Rhinolophus ferrumequinum: one gene and its partner. The main gene of each other region encodes a partner of the protein of the gene in region 2 in a complex. Links are inferred from orthologs where the notes say so. Each region holds a gene or a part of one and is shown on either strand. Other genes may lie near its edges.

The links. Proteins that work in one complex are often made in the same cells at the same time.
Region 1: the proteins of OPRL1 (region 2) and PNOC are in contact, whole or in part, in a cryo-EM structure (PDB 8F7X), measured with the Homo sapiens proteins. The link is inferred for Rhinolophus ferrumequinum from reciprocal best matches to the Homo sapiens genes OPRL1 and PNOC. Residues at the interface, in NP_000904.1 of Homo sapiens: Gln107, Asp110, Gly114, Phe115, Trp116, Val126, Ile127, Asp130, Tyr131, Met134, Gln192, Glu194, Ile198, Glu199, Cys200, Leu201, Val202, Ile219, Val279, Gln280, Val283, Gln286, Gln291, Pro292, Ser293, Val298, Leu301, Arg302, Thr305, Tyr309; in NP_006219.1 of Homo sapiens: Phe130, Gly131, Gly132, Phe133, Thr134, Gly135, Ala136, Arg137, Lys138, Ser139, Ala140, Arg141, Lys142, Leu143.

Annotation. Positions count from the first base shown.
Region 1 is NC_046301.1:29,409,327-29,418,480, forward strand, and holds the start of PNOC (prepronociceptin), read left to right. Parts: upstream 1-4,684; 5' UTR 4,685-4,822; intron 4,823-5,041; exon of another isoform or gene 5,042-5,091; intron 5,092-9,154.
Region 2 is NC_046306.1:122,662-132,647, reverse strand, and holds the start of OPRL1 (nociceptin receptor), read left to right. Parts: upstream 1-5,717; 5' UTR 5,718-5,854; intron 5,855-7,560; 5' UTR 7,561-7,692; intron 7,693-9,986. Other genes in the region: RGS19 (regulator of G-protein signaling 19), read right to left, coding at 1-15; protein LKAAEAR1, read right to left, coding at 4,258-4,827, 5,018-5,566.

The DNA of each region.
Region 1 (9,154 bases), on a different chromosome or scaffold from region 2:
ACAACGTGGAGCACTCATTTATTTGTGGAAAGTTATACTCGTAGAACATAAGGATATTGGCACCACCCCCGTGCCCCGCATTCAGCTATTGACCCCAGAGAAACACTACACCATCCTACAAAACTTCTCAGGGTACCATGATCTGAAGTGTCTGAAATGACTGTCTCCTTATTCTGAGCACGGCATTTCTTAAGTATATATGCTCCTCACATTCCAAATTTCAGAATACGCCTCCTAGTGGTTATGGGACTCTTAAGACACAGCCAGGAGAACTGCGTGCATGTTGCAGGCAAACTGTGACGTGGCAAAGAAAGACATACATTGTCAGCTCGGTGCCTGGGGAAACCAATGCTGGGTCTGGGAGCCCGAGTGTGGAAGGAACCCACTGCAGCCCAGTGTCCCACAGTGAACTTCAGTTCCCTTTCTAGGGTTTTATCCCCATTATCTGATGGGCTCAGTATCATATTCCAGCAGCTGTAGGCTGAATTATGCCCCCCACCCACACAAAAATTTTTGTATGTTGAAGTCCTAACTCCCAATACCTCAGAATGAGACTATATTTAGAGATAGGGTCTTTCCAGAGGTGACTATGGTTAAAGGAGCACATTGAGATGGGCCCTAATCCAATCTGACTGGTGTCCTTATCAGAAGAGGAGATGAGGACGCAGACACACACAGAGGGAAGACCCATGTGAGGACACAGGGAGAAGGAGGCCATGTACAAGCCAAGGAGCCAGGCCTCAGGAGAACCCAGCCCTGCCGACACCTTGGTCTCAGACTTCCAACCTCTGCAACTGTGAAAAAAACAGGTGTCTGCTGTTGAAGCCACCCAGGCGGTAGCACTTTGCTACGGCAGTCCCTAGCAGACTAGCCTACCTCCTAATCCTCATCTTTTCCCATATTAAAGCCCAGCTGCCACCTGTCTGCCCTCTCAGAACCTGCAATATGATCCTCAGCATCTTAACTTTCATTTCAAAAATAGGATAAACATCATGCCGTCTCTCATATGAACTTTCCTTGCAGTCTGATTTTCAATGAGCACATTATGTGCTCTCTGATTCTCTAATGGCCTGAGCCACGACTATATATGCTGTCCTGGCCACCCTTCATTAGCGTACGTCTTGTACCCCAGGCTCCTTCTTGAGGGACAGGACACCTGAGTCCATCTCCCTCTTGTACTCACACCACCTGGCACGGCACTCGGCTGGAATGTCTGGGTAGGAAAGCTGACACGTGCAAGGGTAATCACTGGCTCTTCGTCTTGAAATTGTATTTGCCTATCTCTTTGTCTAAAACCTAGCTTTAACTGATTACTAAAATTCAGCTTTCCCTCAATAACCCAAAGGCCCAAAGTTATGGAGAAACTTGGGTGTCTATCTTAAATATCCACTTGTGATCCAATTCAAGGTGTTTTAAACTGTGGAGAGGGTTTGACCTCTTTGAAAACAAGCAGTTTTTCCTGCTAGGACCCTGCTAGTGTGGTTACTAAGGAGACCGATTGGCTATAGGTGCTGTAATTAATCAGTACATTTTGAGCAGCCAAATACCTGGTGGTGAGCGTCTCTTCTACTTTGAGAGGAGGAAATGGCTGGGGGTGGAGGGTATGTGTTCGAGGAGTCCAAAGTGGCAGCCCCGCTATGGAGGATTTCTTCCCCTTGTACTCCCTCTACTGAAATTTCTGGTGGCTGTTTTAAGAGTCTCTAAATCTGCCTCCTAACTTACCTGTCAGAACTGAGTGGAGTCTAATGCTTGCAGCCACCCTGGCTTGGGCCTCTCGATGGCAAGCTGCATGGGCAGAAGGGAACTTGCACCGATTGCCTCAGAGTCACTAGAAATAAGACTGTGTGATCTTTCCCCTACAACGATTTTCATAAAATGTATACTGTCATCCAGAAGAAGAGGGCAGATGCTGCCTGGTGACCAGTTCTGACGCCTGAGGGAGGCCCATGAACCTTAAGGCAGCAGATGCAGGGGCAAAGCCCCGAGGAAAAAGCCTTTAAGTGATTCAAGCACCGCACAATTTGCACCTTTTCTAGTCCTCTCTTGCTTTTTGGAGAGGCAAAGTTCTTACAGCCTCACACGACAGTTGTTGCAAACGCCTTCCCTGGGTTCCCTCCTGTCCTCCACGTGCGATAGAAGACAGCCTACCACAAAATGCAGCCTCAGTCAACCCAAAGAGAACTGCTGGGTCGTTGGGTTCAACACTTTCGTTTGGTAAACAAGGAAAGAGAAGTATAGTGATTTTCACGCTTGCTTTCTCTTTCCCTCAATTGCAAGGGAAGGAAAAAAACGTGGGTATCCAACACCCTGGAAATGACTAGGTGCTCAAAGGAAGGTTGATCGTTTCTGAAGATTTTCCAGTGCACATGAGAGAAAATCCAAAGAAGTGGCTTTAATTAAACAAAACACGGAGCCTCTGCCTACCCCGCCCCACTCACCCCGCCCTGTGACTTTGTAGTCTCCGCCCACTTTGGCTCTGTACTGGTACTCTGACTGCCTTTAGCCAATAAATGCAGCAAAAGCAGTGGAGTGCCAGCTCCAAGGTCAGGCCTCAGGGACTCTGCATTCTTCTGCTTGTTCGCTTGCTTGATTGTACTTGCTTGTGCTTGAACTTCAGTCTTGCTATGAGACCACGCCAGACCAGAAGGCATAGTAGAGACACATAAAGGTTAGGAGACACAGATTGGAACCACGGTGTCCCCAGCTAACCGCCAGCCAACCTCCTGAAGCTACCGCCAGCTGACTGCAGATTCATGAGACAGCCAAACTGAGACCGGAAGAACTGCCCTGCTGACCACCAAAAACTGCCAATTTGCAGTGTCACGAGCCAAATAAGCAGTTTGTTGGTTAAGCCTCTGAATTGGTGTGGCTTGTTACACAGCAACAGCTAACTGAACCCTGACTGATATTTGAAATAGTTGAGTTTTTTCTCTTAAAAAAAGTTGGAGGTTCGAACTCCATGATTGGTATGAAAGCACCACAGTCATCAGGGACCCAGAATCTTTCTATCTTTATGCTCCATCATCTTTAGTCCATGGCTTTTATCCTCAAAATTGTCTCATGATCCAAGATAACTGCTAGAGCTCCAGCCATTACATTTGTGTTCTGTTCAGGAAGGAAGGAGGGCAAAGAGAGGCCTTTTTAAAGAGCTTTCCTGGAAACCCCACCTATGGACTGGACTAGCAGCTTGATTCTCACTGACTACCCTTGGCTGCAAGGAACCCTGGGAAAGTAGTCTTTTAGCAGAGCACATTGCCACTTAACATAAAATAAAGGGTACTGTTTAGTAAAGAAGAACAGGGACTGGGTATTGGGTAGGCAATCAGCAACATCTGCCACTGCACGTGTGAAATCAAGCTCAAGGGACCCCAATGTACATCAGGATGCAAAACTGACCACATAGCAGGCCGATTTCTCAGATTTCATAGTGGTGGCTTTGACCTGTAGTAACAGAGTGCAAGATTCGCACAATAGAGATGTAAGTGTAATATCATGAGTTTGCTGGTCTCCTGGGCCCGTTTGCTGTGAATATAGATGGAGGAGATGTTGTATTCTGAGAAGCTGTTGCTCTTAACCTAGGGCAGATGATTGATTGATTGATTGATGGACTGATTTCTTTGTTTCTTTCTTTTCTTTCTTCCTATATGTTTTTTATTGAGATATAATTCACATAACATAAAATTCACCACTTTAAAGCATGCAATTCAGTGGTTTGCAGTATATTCACTATGCTGTGCAGCCATCAGCACTATCTAATTTCAGAATATTCCCATCATCCCTAAAAGAACCCCTGTACCCATTTGCAGGCAGAGCAGATGCCTTCTTTAATCCTTCTCCACCCAGTCTCAGGTTGATACCAGAGCCTGACTTGTCGCAGGACAGGGTGCTTAAGCTCCTTGGACAACAGGCTCACATCCTGGGATTCTGGAATATTTATGAATTTTCTTGGGAGAGCCAAGGAGGAGGTCATGGTGTGATTCACCTCGGGCTCCACAAGGACACTGCAGAATCTAAACGCTCCCGGCCTGGGCTGCCTCTGAGCTACCTTCCCGCAGGGAAGGGAAGGAGGCCCCAGACCGAGTGCTGGGGGCATCTTCAACAGCTTCCAAGACTCCAAGGCACTTGGTAGTGACATCCGGAAGTACAGCAGCAGCTTTCAAAGCACTCTGTTGTGCCACTAGATGTTGACAGATGTTGGCTTTTTAGATCCAGCTGGCATTGTTTAATATGAAAAGGATAGAGGGGATGCTGAATTCACTTTTATTAAAGGTCTCATGTGTTCCAAATACAAACAGAATATCATTTTTCTACTCACAACCATCCTGGGAGGTGTTCTACCCATTTTACAGAAAGAGGACCTGAGGTTCGCAGACAGAAGTACATTGCTCTGATAGCAGAGCGAGAATTTCAGACACTTCAGTCTGAGTCGAAAGTCTCAGCATTTTACGTTGTGCCATGCTGTGGGTACCTGTGAAATGCCACCTGACATGGCCCATGGCAGGTAGAGCCACTGCCTAGAGTGACATAGTTGTTGCTGCCTGTGGGACAGTGACAGCAGGAGGGGGCTTGGCTAAGCTTAGCTCTGGGCTTTGCTGAGCCAGTGGGAGCTTGACGTGTGCTTCCCCCTCATTCTGCCCGCTTCCTTTTCTTTACTTCTCAGGCTAAAAGGTTGTTCAAGGAGACTCGGGGCTTGGGGTCTGCTCGTCACAGTCACCAGGAGTCTTTTTTTCTGACTGACTTGCCAGGGCTCCCCGTCAGTGTTCGCCGTGCTTCTGGAAGCAAGGGGAAGGCAGCTGTGGGATCCTGGCTGAACAGAGTCCAGGTAAAGCAGGCTTGAGAATGAATGGACTGATGGGGAGGTGGGGATGTCACAGGTCTGAGCACAGAGGCGGTGGGGGGTGGGGGGAAGCCAGGAAGGACTGTAGGTTCTGCTGTTCACTTGCTTAAGGGGGTCAGCGTGTGTATGTGTCATCGAGGTGGGCAGGGAAAGGGAGGGCTGTGCGTGTGGGGGGAGGATATATATGCTGGTGTGGCTGAGATCTCAGAACCGAGCCTCACATCCGAGGGAGCCGGGCCACTGACAGCTCTCAGGTAGGCAATGCATGCGAACCCCAGCCCTAGACAGTCTGCTGGGAGCCTCTGGGAGCAGGGCAGGGGGGGCTCTCTCCTCAGCCTCTCTCCTTTGTCCAGTATGAATGCTGCAGGCCTCCTGTGAGATGATTTCTTCATTCATCTTATTTTCAATGCTTGGATGGAGGGGAAGGGAGGCTTGAGGTTTTTATGCTGAAGACAGATGCAGAAGAAGAAAGAGCCGAACTTGGAGATGAGAAAAAGTTTTGATTTCCCAGATGTGGCCCCTACTTTGTCATTGCTGTCTGTTGAGAAAAGGTGTCTGTAGGAGTAAGGTTAGGGAAGGGGCAGACTTGGGTGGGGGAGTCTTCCTCAGTGCAGCCCTGGGAAGCCCCCCTGCTCCCCTTGTGAGCGATTTCTCTGTGTGGCTGACTTCCTTTCTTTCCTTCCCTCATAGTGTGTTCAGGCTGGTTCACGGATCACTAAACTTGATTTGGATTTGGGTTTTAATCCTGAGCGACTCCTTCTCCCATATGCACCAAACAAAAATTGTTAGGCGTGATGTGGGAAAAGTCAGATGTGGGGCGTCGTGCTGGACCAGTACTGGGTTTCCCCGAAAATAAGACCTAGCTGGACCATCAGTTCTAATGTGTCTTTTGGAGCAAAAATTAATATAAGACCCAGTCTTATTTTACTATAAGGCCAAGTCTAATATAATATAATATAATATAATAAATATAATATATAATATAATACCGAGTCTTACATTAACTTTTGCTCCAAAAGATGCATTTGAGCTGATTGTCTGGCTAGGTCTTATTTTCGAGGAAACACGGTTGTAGTACATGGCTGATTGCAGCCGCTGTGTATGAATTTCACATAGATTTCTACAGGGCTGACCTTGGACTCCCGGACCCTGAGTCGTTTTGAGGTCTCCTCTTTCTTTGCATTTTTCTTCTCCTGCCCATCTCTCCCACCTAAAGGTCTCTGCTGGGGTCCTGTGGATTACGACATGCAGAAGTCATCCAAACTCTCTCTTGCTCTTTCTCAGCCTCCTTTTCTTTCTCCTTCTTTCTTTGTGCATCTCTCTCCCTGCATGTATCGCTTTCCCTCCCTCCACCACACATCCTCTCCTCCCCCATCTCACTCGGAACATGGGCAAGTTGCGGGGGAATTTCAAGCAAGGCAGGATGATTCGGGAAACGGACTATTTAAAGCAAGCTGCTTTGGACTCAAATACCCTGATCCTGGGCTTCAACATCTGTGTTTCGCTGCCTCGAGCAGCCCGTAATTGCCCCAATTATAACCAATAACATTGTTCATGAGACTAACAAAAGATGAGCTTTCCACGGCTTTTGCCAGCAAGCCTAAACCAGAGTTTTCAACATAGAGGGGAAAAGTAACTGCCTGGCTTCTTATCAAAACCTCCCAAAGAAATTGCGGCTCTTTCTCACTGCCTGTGGGTGGCTGCTGCACGCACACTCCTTTCTTGCATTTATAAACTATGGCAGGGAAATAGTCTATATGCCTCTACAGATGCTGTGATACCTTTAACAAAAAGGATTAGTGTTCCTGTGTGCTTGCTGAGTCTTCTGCAGGGTCCCTGGAAAGCCTGTCCCCAATCACCACCTTAGTCAAAGGAGCAGCTTCCCCTGTTCCATATGCTGCCCATCGAGGGTGCTATGGTGCAGCCTGGGGTTGTTCTGGGGGTGCAGTTTGTGTGTGGGGCAGCAGCCCTTGCTTTATCAGCTGAAGGCTGAGAGTACTCGGGTCTCTAGAGAATGCTGGAGATTTTTCATTGTCAATGAAGGGAGTAATTGCAAGATTAGGCTTAAACCCGTGCTCTCTGGGGCCTATAACAGGAGCTGTCACAAAGCCATTACATATTCAATCAATCAGGTATTTATCTTCTCCACTCCACGAGGCAGGGGAGGCATGGGTTTGGGGGCACGGGGAGGGGGCTCCAGTGGATTCAGCAGAGGTGATAATAACAGCCCTTTACTTTCCTACAATGATTTACATCTTAAACGCTTTCACACCTATTATCCCCAGCAACAGCCCTGCGAGGTGGTGTGATTATCTCCATGTTGCTGTTGAAAACTGAAGCCGAGAGGTTAAATAATTTGTTCAGGACGTGGCAAAGAGGACTGAATCCAGCCTTCCTGGCTCCCGTGCCTCTCCTGCTTCGGACCAGGGGTGCTTACAAACTAATGGGGTTAGGGCTGGGGCAATACACACACACAGGGAAACAATTAGGGGACAATGCCACACCGGAGTGCTAAATTGCCTGGTTCAGACAGCAAGTGCTGGAAGGACTCCCAGAAAGGAGCGCTTGCCCCAGCCATTCGAGCCGGGCAGGGAAGGAGGTAGAATATGGATGGGTCAAAGGGTTTGGAGAGAAAGGCGGCGGCCAGGACAAAGGCACTAAAGGAGGGCAAAGGAATTAACATTGCTTGAAACCTACACTGTGGCATGTAGTGAGCTGAACTTGCCTGTATGCTTATTTCATGCTAAGACACACATGCACGCACGCACACCACAGGGACGTGAGGTCTAGGGTGTTCTACACTTTTATCAACATGATTCAGTGAGCCTCACCCCCAATCCTCCAGCTCCTGAAGCCAGAAAAGGAACCTTTGAAATCTACCTGTTCTGGGTCTGGGTGGAGCTACTCGTCAGATATCCTCGGGAGGGACTGACTGGGTCCTTCTCTCAAAACAGGAGTCATCATGACAACAGTGGCAGTGGCTTAAACAGCTGGGAACTCATTAGAAAAACTGGGTTTTCTAAACCCTTTTATTGTAACGCCTAACGGTGCTCCCACAATCTAACATGAAGGTTTCCTTCTAACCACAAACTAGCTGTGAGAGTTCGGGCACACCAGTGTGGGAGCCATGTCAATTTTCTGGGCATTTCTCTTCATAGGCTATGATCACACTCAGTCTGACTTTCTGTGGTGTTCTGGTTTTTCAAATACTGGAAGCTGCCTCAGCATCACCAGCTCTGAAGGGCCTGGCTCAGTGGGTAAAGTGTAGAGCTTTACCCTCCAAGGAGTCTGTGAAAAAGTCAGTGGATGGCCACGTAGCCTCCCCACCATGGCTCAGAGCCAATCTCCCCTCTGCTCACACCTGTCCCGCGCCCTGTCTCCACCCGGCTCCCATTCATCCTTTCATTCATGTAGCTAAGAAGTGTGCGTGGCATTTCTAACGGGAGCCTGGCAGCACCTGGTGCCTGCAAAACAGACCCGTCAGACTGTCCTCAGCTTCCTCAGAACTCACAGGCAACGTCACCTACTGTGGATGTGACACAGGGTGTCATAGGGGTCTCCACAGGGGTGTGAGTGTCCGACAACCCACTGGGCTTCAGAACATGGAGGCTTTATCTTTTTCGTATCTGTCTGAATTTTCACATTCGCCTGTTGTATCATGTGTACAACGTATAACTATTAGGTTGGTGCAAAAGTAATTGCGGTTTAAAAAGTTAAATTGCAAACACCGCCGTTGACTTTTGCACCCACCTAATAAATCAGTGGGAAGTGCGTGCTCCAAAACTGATTGCTAGTGGTATAAAGCCGAAGAAGTTTGAAGATTATCGGTCTAGAGCCACTGCTCTTCTGCTTCTCCGTATTTTCTCATCCTTTGGGTAAGAATACTGACTTCATTATAAAAGGAAGCAAATGATTTACAATATTTATTTGAATTATGTTGACAGTATAGTTGAACCTGTGGGCCAGAATCAGGAAGACCAAAGTTAAGAGGGATTTTTTCCCAACTTTGTGGAGGCCCTGATACAAAATGTGTCTGTCCGGAGCCCGCGGCTGGGCTGCTATTACGGCCTCAGTCCTGTGCTGCGTTGAAGTTGCTTCTTCCTGAAGCCCTCATGTTCTCTGCCTCCTTCCTTCTTGCTTCCCCTTCCCGGGAGAGCAAAAACATCTGGCCACTTATAAAATCAAAAATATTAACCATCTAATGCAACTGCCTCTTTCCGGAGAAGGGGAAACTGAGGCCCAGAGAAAGAAAGGGCCTTTCTCAAGGCCCCACACTTATAATCAGAGCCAGAGCTCGAACCCAGGACTCTGATTTCC
Region 2 (9,986 bases):
AGAAAAAAATGCCATAACCTTTGGGAGGGGGTTGACAGAGGGGCTCTAGTCCCTGCTTCTGATCCTACTCAGTACCTTTCCTAGCTGCTGCTCCCCAGCCCCCAGTTTGGCTGGTGGGGGAGCCCCAGCGTGGCTTTACAAGGCCGGTCAGTTTTCCTAACCCTGGTGACCCTCGCCCCCAGCCCACCTTTGCAATGGTGGGGGCGACTCACTTCTCTCGCGCTCTCTCTCCGCTGGTAGGGTCTGGCCTGGAGGAACCTGTCGCCTTCTGCAGGGGTCCCTTCCAGCCTCTGACGCCCCCACCCCTACCTCAAGGAACTCGCCATGGCGCCCCACTCACCAGCGACCCAAAGGCGAGGTGGGGGCGGGAGGGGCCACGTTCGGTCTGCACCCCCACCCTGACTGCCGAAGGGGCGTGCACTGCAGCAGCAGGGATTCGAGTCAGACGGCAGGGGACTCTCCTGCGGCGCTCTGGAGGGAGGTCGGCGCCGGGGGCCCCGATCGGCTGGGGCCGGGGGCGCAGCGCCTCCCCTGCGACTCGCAGGGCTCAGAGGCTGCCAGATCCAACGGGGCGGGGGCGGACAGGGTGTCCCGCCTCGGTCCCTCCCCACCAGGCTGAGGGGGGCGGGAGACGCGGAAACCTGGGTTCTTCCGGCCCCCCCTTTGAGCAATCACTTCCCCAAGCTTTGAGCTGCAGAAAAGGGGAACCCGGTTGCAGCGCCGACTCCCCCCGCGCGCGCGGTGGGGACGGGCTCCAGTCCCGCCGCGGCCCAGGGTCCACGTGGACCCCTCGGCGGGAGTCCTTGGGGTGCAGATCCCGGAGTCGGCTCCCGAGGCTCCCGCCCCACACGGCCCCGGGGCCCCGGGCCCGCAGGGGCAGGGCCGCCGTCCTCCGCGCCGCGCGCGTGCACTCACCGGCCGCGCTCTCGAGCCGCTCGCGCCGCCGCCGCCGCCGAGCCCGCGCGCTCCGAAGTCCGGCCGGATCGTCGGGGAGGGGGCGCAGGGTGCAGTGCGCAGGCGCCTCGGCCGCACTTCCCCAAAGCGCCGGGCTGGGACTTCCTCGCGCGGGGAGGCGCCCGGCCCGCCCCGCCCGGCGCGCCCCGCCCCGCGTTTGGCTGTTTCTGCGCCCCACGCGCCCCCTCCCCACCACCCCATAGAGTCCGGCCCAGCGCCTTGGTCCCCGTCGTCGCTTAGGGTGGCCCATGGAGATGAGGTGCTAATATTGGGGTCTCTGGCCTCCAGGCGGCCTGAGCTGGAACTGTAGTAGGTGGGGGTGTGGCCGTGCCCCCGACTCGGCCGGGCCATTCCAGCTGTGCCATTCATGTGAGTCGGCCATGAGCTTCCTGCCAGATGTGTGGCACGAGAGTCCTAGAGACGCAAGTGTCCCCATACGCTACTTGCCCCGCTGGAAAGGACTGTGTCGTGGTTACTCTAGGCCCCACCCTAGCCTTTCCCAGACTGGGTGCCCTCACCTGTAAAATGAGGTTAAGAGCCTGTTATCACCGCACTGTTACCACACTGTAGGGGGCTTCCCACGGAGGGGACCGGGGTCCTGTGCTGAGGTGAACCTGGATGCTGGGGGTATGGATTTTTGCCCCTGGAGTCACCACATGTCTCTCTCTATCTGTGGCTGCTGGCCGGCTCCCTTCTGACCCCTTCAGTTGCTCCAAGGTGTCATGCAGTTTAAAGCCACACTGTCCCCTTCCCTCGAATGTCCTGTCTCTTCTCTTTGGCTGATTCTCCTGGTACTTTATGACCTGGTACAGCTGTTAGTTCAATTTCTTATCCCAGCATGCTTACGGCCAGTGTCATAGTGGCTTTGACCCTGCTCTGGAAATGGTCCCCTGGACTCAGACCATATGTAGCTCCTGTCCCTAGTGCAGGCACTCGGCCTGGTGAGCTCCTGGAGCCGGTCCGGCTCACAGAGGGCCTCCCAACCGCACAAGTTGTCGAGATGTGAAGGGAAGTGGAGATTTTCCACGCACTCCTCATCATTCAGCAAGTTTCTGGCTGTCCCCTGAGCGGGACCTTGCAGTGAGCTAGACAGACCAGCCCTAGAGCAGATGAGACCCAGCCCGCAGAATGGGTGAGAGGTGAAGAGGGCCAGGGAGGGTAGAGGAGGCTGCATGGCAGGGGCTCAGGCCAAGCTGAGAGCGGGGAAGGTCAGAGAGGCCAGAGGGCCCTGGAGGCTGGGGTGCCTCTTGATGCTGTGTGCTCAGGGGCCCTGGCTGCCATGTTGGCAGGCTCCCAGGACAGGGCCCAGGCTGGAAGCCTGTCCAGACAGGAGACGACTGCTTCTCATTTACCCCAGATGACAGTCCTGAGAGGTAACAGCACAGAGATGGGCCAGCACCTGGCCAAGGTCACACAGCCAGGCGGATCCCACAGTGTGTGTGGCATCTCCACCCACCGCCTAAGACATGTGTAGGGCAACTGGTCATGGGTGGGGGTCAGCACACTTCCCTCCCTCCTCTGGCCAGTCCCCCACACCCTCTGGGTCTCCCGTACCTCCCCTGGGGAGTCTGTCTCTGCAGTGTCCCCGCAGCCCATGGAGGATCCCAGGTGGACTGGGGAGGAGCCCCTGAAGGCCATACAGCAGGAGATGTGGAGATGCGACTGACCCCAGGGCCCCCTGCCCAGAGCACAAGCCTCAGCCCGGCATCCCATCTGATCCCTCACGGCCCATGGGACGTGGTGCAGGCTTTGTTCTCGCAGAGCAGAAGCCACCTCCAGGCCCCACCACTTTCCTCAGACACTTTCTGAGGCTGGTCTGCGGACCTAGGGCCTGTCCCTGGTGGGATCAAAGGGCGCCCATATGCACAGCTGTCTGTGAGGCCGTCTTCTTGCTAGCCCTCTCCTCAGGGCTTTGTGCGTCTGCCCTGTCCCTCTGTCCTCAGGTGCCTGCCTAATGCAGTGACCCTGCCTTAGGAGCAATCGCTGTGGGGCACATGGCAACAGCGAGACCCTTGAGACTCCGTTTTAGAGATGAAGAAACAGAGGCTTAGAGAAGTGGAGAAATAAAATGTGCTTCTACTAAAATGATGAAGTCATCCTAGGCACTCAGTCTCTAGGCGTCCCCCAGAGACAGGGTGCTGGGTCCAGATGGCGGGGAGCCGGGCCAGGGGCCAGGGCTGGCTGTCCTCCATGCCTGTCTGGGTGCCAGTGGCCACCACTCCTGGGCAGTGGTTGCTTCCCCTTTTCTGTCTCTGTCCCTCACCCAAGCCACCTTCTCTGCCCCCCTCCTTCTCCCTCCCCCTCCCAACACACCCACTCCCCTTCCCACCTGCCACTACATGCAGCTCCCCACTCCCTCCCACTCCGCACATAGTTCTGGGTGTCCATCGACGCCAAAGGCAGCAACAGATGGGGAGAAGGGCTTGCTGAGGGCACGGAGGGCCCAGGTCTTCATCCTGAGCCGGGTCAGGGAGGGGCAGTGACCGCCACTGAGCAGGATTCCTGGCCAGACCCCAAGCTCTGACCTCTGCGCCCCTCCAGGGTCAGCTCTGCTGCTGCCCACTCAGCAGGAGGCCCCTGGCAGGGGTGGGGCTGGTCTGCGTCCCTGAGCCCCCGCTGGAGAGGTGGCTGAGAGAAATCCCGGGCTCTGCAAACAGCCTGTGTGGGAGAACAGTGTTCTTGAAGGTCTGTCCAGAATCATGGAGGTTCTTAAGGAATCCATAGGGTTAGCAGGACAGACAGGCTTGTCAGAATGGGGCAGGGGCGGCTTCCTTCTGGTCTTGGGTATGTACGTGGTGAGGAGGTAAGAGAGGCAGAGGGGACAGACGAGGCCATTCAGGATGAAAAGGAAAAACACAGGGTGATTTTCTGTCTGGGGCAGCAGGGTTCCCCTGAGGAGAACTTGCCCCTTCTCCAGTCTCCCAGCACAGCTGACGCTCCAGGTATTTTTTTTAAATTGGGGAATATTGGGGAACAGTGTGTTTTTCCAGGGCCCATCAGCTCCAAGTCATTGTCCTTCAATCTAGTTGTGGAGGGTGCAGCTCAGCTCCAAGTCCGGTCACCCGTTTTCAAGGTTGCAGGGGGGCACAGCCCACCATCCCATGAGGGAATTGAACCGGCAACCTTGTTGTTTGTTGAGACCTGGAGCTCTAACCAACTGAGCCATCCAGCTGCCCCATCCAAAGGCAGCTTTGTGTGCAGCTACTTCCTTTGCCCATAATGTCACCCTCCTCTCTGACACCCTGATGGGATGACCTGCAATCTGGGGGTCCCACTTCAGCCCCTGTCTCTCCCTGAGGCTGCTTACTTCTGGGGGTGTGACTTGCTAAGCCACATTCTTCTTCCTGCCCCCCATGGACTCAACAGCTGGAGGCTGCGGATTTGGGGGGGTGAGGGATGTCCTGGTTCCCTGTTAATGACGCCCGCCCACTTGCAACTTCCTACTTTGTTGGAGGAGCTCCACTCTGTGTACCCCAATGTCTGTGACGTCCTATGTCGGAGAGGCAGCATCCATCCCCTCCTTCTCTGCCCTGGGACGTGGAGACGGAGCGTAAAGACCAGCAGGCTCTTGGAGAATGAGAACTTTATGTGGGCAGGTGGGGTAGCCGTCAACGCGGGAAGATGTGGCCATCCACTGTCTCCTCCAGGATGGTCTCCAAGCGCCTCCGCTGCGGGGGAGAGGGGCTGGGGCCAGGTGTGGAGAGAGGAGGGCGGGGCCCTCTCTCCCCGCCTTCCCGGGCTGGCAGGCACCTCTTGACGGTCCAGGGGGTCCGGGATCCTCGTGGGCTTCAGCTGCGGAGGCAGGAACAGCTCCAGCCGGATGGCGGCGCGCGCGGACTTCTGCCGCTGGATGAGGAGCGAGATCTCCTCCGCCTGCCGGCCGGGGCGTGGCACGTGGGGTACCTCTGAGCCAGCGCGACGTATTGCCCTGCTCCGCCCCTCCCGCCGCGAGCCCCCGCGGGTCCTCCAGCCCCCTTTCCTCAGGGTCCCGGGCCGGCCTCCCCTCCCGGCCTGCCCCCCAATTCTCGCCTGCCTGCCCCTCCCTCTGAGCCCCTGGCCTCACCCGCAAATGGTTGTAGCGCAGCCGCAAGGCGCGGATTCGTCCACAAGCTTCCGCGGCCTTGAGGACACCGAGGAGCCGGTCTTGGCGCGCCGCGGGTAGCTCGAGTGATTTCGTCCACGCGCGCAGGTCGGGCATACGGTACCCCAGTTCCACTGACTCACGCGGGAAGATGGAAGCGGCCGCGCCCACGTCCTCAGGCAGGTCGCAGAAGAGCAGGTGGCGATGGCACTGAGCGGGATGCATGTCTGCCAGTGCCTCCGGTTTTAGGGTCCAGCCCGGCATGGGGAGCTCTCCCGCCGGCGCCCCCTTGGCGTGCTCCTCAGGGGACTCTGCACCCTGCGTGCCCTTCGAGGCTCGGTCCCGCGAGTCCCTGCGCCCGGCATCCTTTGCCGCCGGCGGTTGCATTCTCGGCCCTTGCCAAGGGGAAGAGGCATCGCCTTGTTGGTGCCCAGACGGTGTCCGTTTGGCACCTGCCCAGCCCTCTGGCCTGGCTTGGCCCCTCCAGAGTCCCCGCAGGCCCCACCCCCGTGGGTCCCGCACCTCCAGCATCTGCACCTCCGCTCACGCCTACCACGCGTCCCCATCAGCTCAGCCTCCCTACTCAGTGCTGCAGTCAGCTAGAACTTTCTGATCCTTTCGGGAGTTTCGGGATATTTCCTTCCTGCCCACAGGCTGTTTGTCTGTCCACTGAGAAAACACCGAGACCCTTGAGTTGACCTCAGGCCCTACCCAGTGGTTTAGACCAGGTGACACTGCTTTTAGTGAAGCTCCGTGGATCCTTCTCCACGTTGATGGACGACCCTCTCTGCGCTCCAGTTCCCTGTGTTTCCGTCACCGGTCAGTCATCAAACCCCCAGCCCACTGGAACCCCAGAGGAGGCTCAGAGCCAAAAGGACAGCCGCTTCATTTGTTTGCTTTGCTCATCCTCCTAGCCTGTCTGGAACTGGCTCTAGGTGGAGGAAGGGAGAGCAGAGCCCAGGGAGGAGGTGATGGGGGGCGGGGAAACATCGCCAGGGCCCGGTTCAGCCCTGCAGGGCTCCTTCCTTCCCGGGATCCAGCCCACAGCTGCCCGAGACGCTGAGCCAGGTCCTCCCCCGACCCGGTCCCCACACCCCATACTTTCGAGTTTCTTGACTCTGAGCCTTCAACAAAGCCCCTACTCTCTGGGCTTGTTGACGCGGTTGCCGGGCAACCGGGAGTCCCGCCTCTCCTCCAAGGGGGGGTGGGGCGGAGAAGCCCCTCAGGAGGGGCGTGGGCAAGTGAGTGGAGGGCGTCCCCATCACCGGGGCGAGATGCCGGCAGCTGCCCCAGCCTGTCGAACTCCGTGGAGGTGGTGACTGCCAGCTCCTGCAGCCCCGTGCGCTTTCTTTCCTTTCTGGGGAGTCCCAGAGGCAGTCTTCTGGGCCTCTGCCTTGGCTTCCTGGCTGGAGAGGTCATTGGAGGTTAGTTTTGGAGGTAGGGGGCTGAGGCCCTTTCTCTGCGTGGTCCTCCCACAGTCGCTGGCGTTCACAGAGAGGCGAGACTGGGGCAAACTCAGAACCCCTCACCTCTTCCAGGGCGAGTTTGGGGGCCCAGGGGTCCCACAAGACCAGACCCCTTTGTTGCTGAACCGTAAATCTCGGGGTACTGGATTTCTGTAATCTATTTGTGTATTTGCTAATTTCATAACATTCTATAACTAATTCACTGCCCAATTTATTAATTCTGTATTTTATTCATGCACTCATCAGTTTGTTGGGAACTCATTAATTCATATGCTCACGCCACAGTTTATGTTAGACGAAAATTAGTGTATTAAGCCCATAATTTGTTAATGCGTGGGCTGCCACAGTGTGCACGCAGCTCTCCCTTTCACTCCTGCATCTGGGCGCTGGGGCCGGTGGAGGGCGCTGTTTGGGAGTTCAGGACCTGAGCCCCTGAATCGAGGATGATGCTGGCTTTGGGATGGGGTCACAGCTGAGGTCCTGGCCTCTGTGTAGGAGGCTACTGACCGTTCCCATTGTTTTGGGAAGCTTGCTCTGACTTCCTATGATTCTGTGCCCCTATATCCCTGAGCTTGCACCCCTCAAACTCCCACTTTTAAGCCCCCAGGGCTTTGCATAGCTGTTCCTTGGATGTTGGCCCATCCTGCCCTGTGCGTGCCTTTGAGGGATGGCCTGGGCCTTAAGAATCAGCACCAACTTGGTGGCTTGTTGAAGATGAGGGTCTCTGGCTCCGGAAGAAGCAGTGAGGGCTTAGGAAGGCTGATTTAGCAGGCCACCTCCTGCAGGCAGGCCTCCTAGATACACATAGTCCAGGCTGGGGCTGCCTCTGGCCCCCACTCCTTGCTCCCATGTGGGTGAGTCCTCTGAGACAGGGATCTGGGCCCTCCTCTCAGCTCCCCGGGGTCCCAGCCAGGAGGCCACACAGGAAAGGAGTGGCTTGCTGGCTCCTGGGGTTAGAGTGGGGTTACAGGTGGATTGGGGGCATGCTGTCCTACAAGGAGGGATTTGTGACTTTTTGTGGGATTGAAAACTTTGACACCTCCTTCCCTCTAATTCCAGGAGGGCCTGGTGCCCATAGAGCTTCCATTCCTGAAGACATCTTTTTCCTGCTTCTCCACACACCGGGTTCTACTGGAAGGGAAGATGGCCTGTGTGTCTGGGGCTCAGTGACCAAGGGAGACCCGCAGGCAGGTGTCTTCCCTTTGTTTTTTGTTTATAAATTTTATTGGGGAATATTGGGGAACCAATGTGCTTTTACAGGGCCCATCAGCTCCGAGTCGTTGTCCTTCAATCTAGTTGTGGAGGGTGCCGCTTAGCTCCAAGTCCAGTCGTGGTTTTCAATCTTTAGTTGCAGGGGGCGCAGCGCACCATCCCTTGCGGGAGTGGAACCCGCAACCTTGTTGTTATTAAGAGCTCGTGCTCTAACCAACTGAGCCACCCAGCCACCCTTCCCTTTGTTTTTTTGTTTGTTTGTTTTGGTTTGGTTTTTTTGTCATATATAAAACTCTATTTGAACTATTTGACAGAATTCAACTAAATGAAATAGAACATTTAAATCACTTAGAACTGTAACTGACATAAAACATGTTCCAGTAAATGTATGCGAACAATATCGTCATCTTCATCATTATTGCTTAAGTGAAATATGCTCACTTTCTATAAGTCTGACATGATTTTAGGTACTAGACCATCACATCTTTATATATATATATATATATTTATATGTTAAAAGTTTTAATCTTGTAATAATTTTACATTTACATAAAAATTCTTCCCTTTGTCTTTTTGTCCAGGGTTTGTGGGGTTTTCAAGGGCTGATGGAAAGGCTGACATCTAAAAGTATGTTGATTGGCACCGAAGTTTGACGATAAAACTTCACAATGAAATTGCTAAGCTTTATTAAATGACTACCACATGTAACATATTGAAACCCTGCAACTCAGTTCTCCTGTTGCCGTATACTGGGGGTGCCAAAAAAGTGTAAACAAGTGGACACTTTGGTCAACGTTGCTCAAGCAGTAGTTCGCCATAATCAGAAGTGTCTGGACACTGATGGGAACCACGTTGAGCACCTCTTGTAATTGCAGAAGTCAAACATGACTTGTATTCATCTTTTGTTATCAGTATATATTATTAAAATTTTAATGCAATTTTCCTTTCTTAAAATGTGTATATATTTTTTTGGCACCCTCTGTATAAGTATTATGAAGTTAAAATCACAAGGACAAAGTAATTCATTACGATGAAACTCAGAATTATTACAATCCTTTTTTTTTTTAATTGGGGAATATTGGGGAACTGTGTTTTTCCAAGATGTCAGGTTGTTGTTTTTCAATCTAGTTGTGGGGGGTGCAGTTCAGCGTCAAGTCAAGTCATTGTTTTCAATCTAGTTGTGGAGGGCACAACTCACTGGCCCATGCAGGACTCAAAACAGCGACCTTGGTGTTATGAGCTCATGCTCTAACCACAAGCCAACAGGTCACCCACTGGTGGCTCAGCTCGAAGCTCAAGCCGTATTCAGTCTAGGTGTGGAGGATGCAGCTCACTGCCCCACGTGAGAATCAAACCGGCAACCCTGTTTTTCAGAGCTCCTGCTCTAACCAACTGAGCCACTGGGCCGCCCACAAATGCTCTCTTATGTAACGTGTGTCCCCTGCTCTCCCATGTGTGACACGTATGTTCTGTCTTACCCTTGCTGCCCAGGGCTCAGGAGAGGCCTGGGCCATTTCCTCTGTGCCATGCCCCCCTTTGTGGGAGCCCTGAAGGGTCCAGGGCTGGACTGCAGCCACTCCCAGGGAGTGTAGTCAGCATCTGGGGCTGGCCACCCACCAGTCAGGTGACCAAGCCTGTCCTTTGGCTGAGACTGTGCCTGTGAGAAACCAGGTGTCCACCTGCAGCTGTCCTCTGTGCTGGCTCTGTCCAGAACGCACATCCAGCTTCGAAGCAGCCTCATGACCCTTTGCTTTCCCCAGCCTGGGGCCTGGGACATGAGGCAGCTGACGGCCATCAAGAAATGTGGCTCTGCAGACTGCTGAGCGGCCAGGCGTCCCAGGGAGCCAAGGCGGGGACTCGGGCTGGCTGCTCAGACCTAGGTGCACCTGCCAGGGGCGGCGGTGGGAGCTGAGGCTCTCGGGTACCTGGGGTCAGCCGGATAATGCTTCACTGGGAGAGGCTGGTGCACGTGTGCAGCCGGGTGTCTGGGGCCTTGATCTTTGTGTCTGTCTGTTCCCACGTGTCTACCCACATGCCTTGCACACACCTTGGTGTAGGTTTGCATGTGTGTGCACGCCCCTGCGAGTGCCATTGCATTTCTGAGCACGTACCCGTGTCTGTGTGTGTTCCCATAGACCGATTTGGGCATCTATGTGTGTGTCTGCAGGCATGTGACTCTGTGTGCCCCTGTTTCCTGAGTGTCTCTGTGGACACATGTCCACACGTGTCCCTGAGCTGGCTGCAGCGAAGATGCAGACAAATCCTGGGGGACA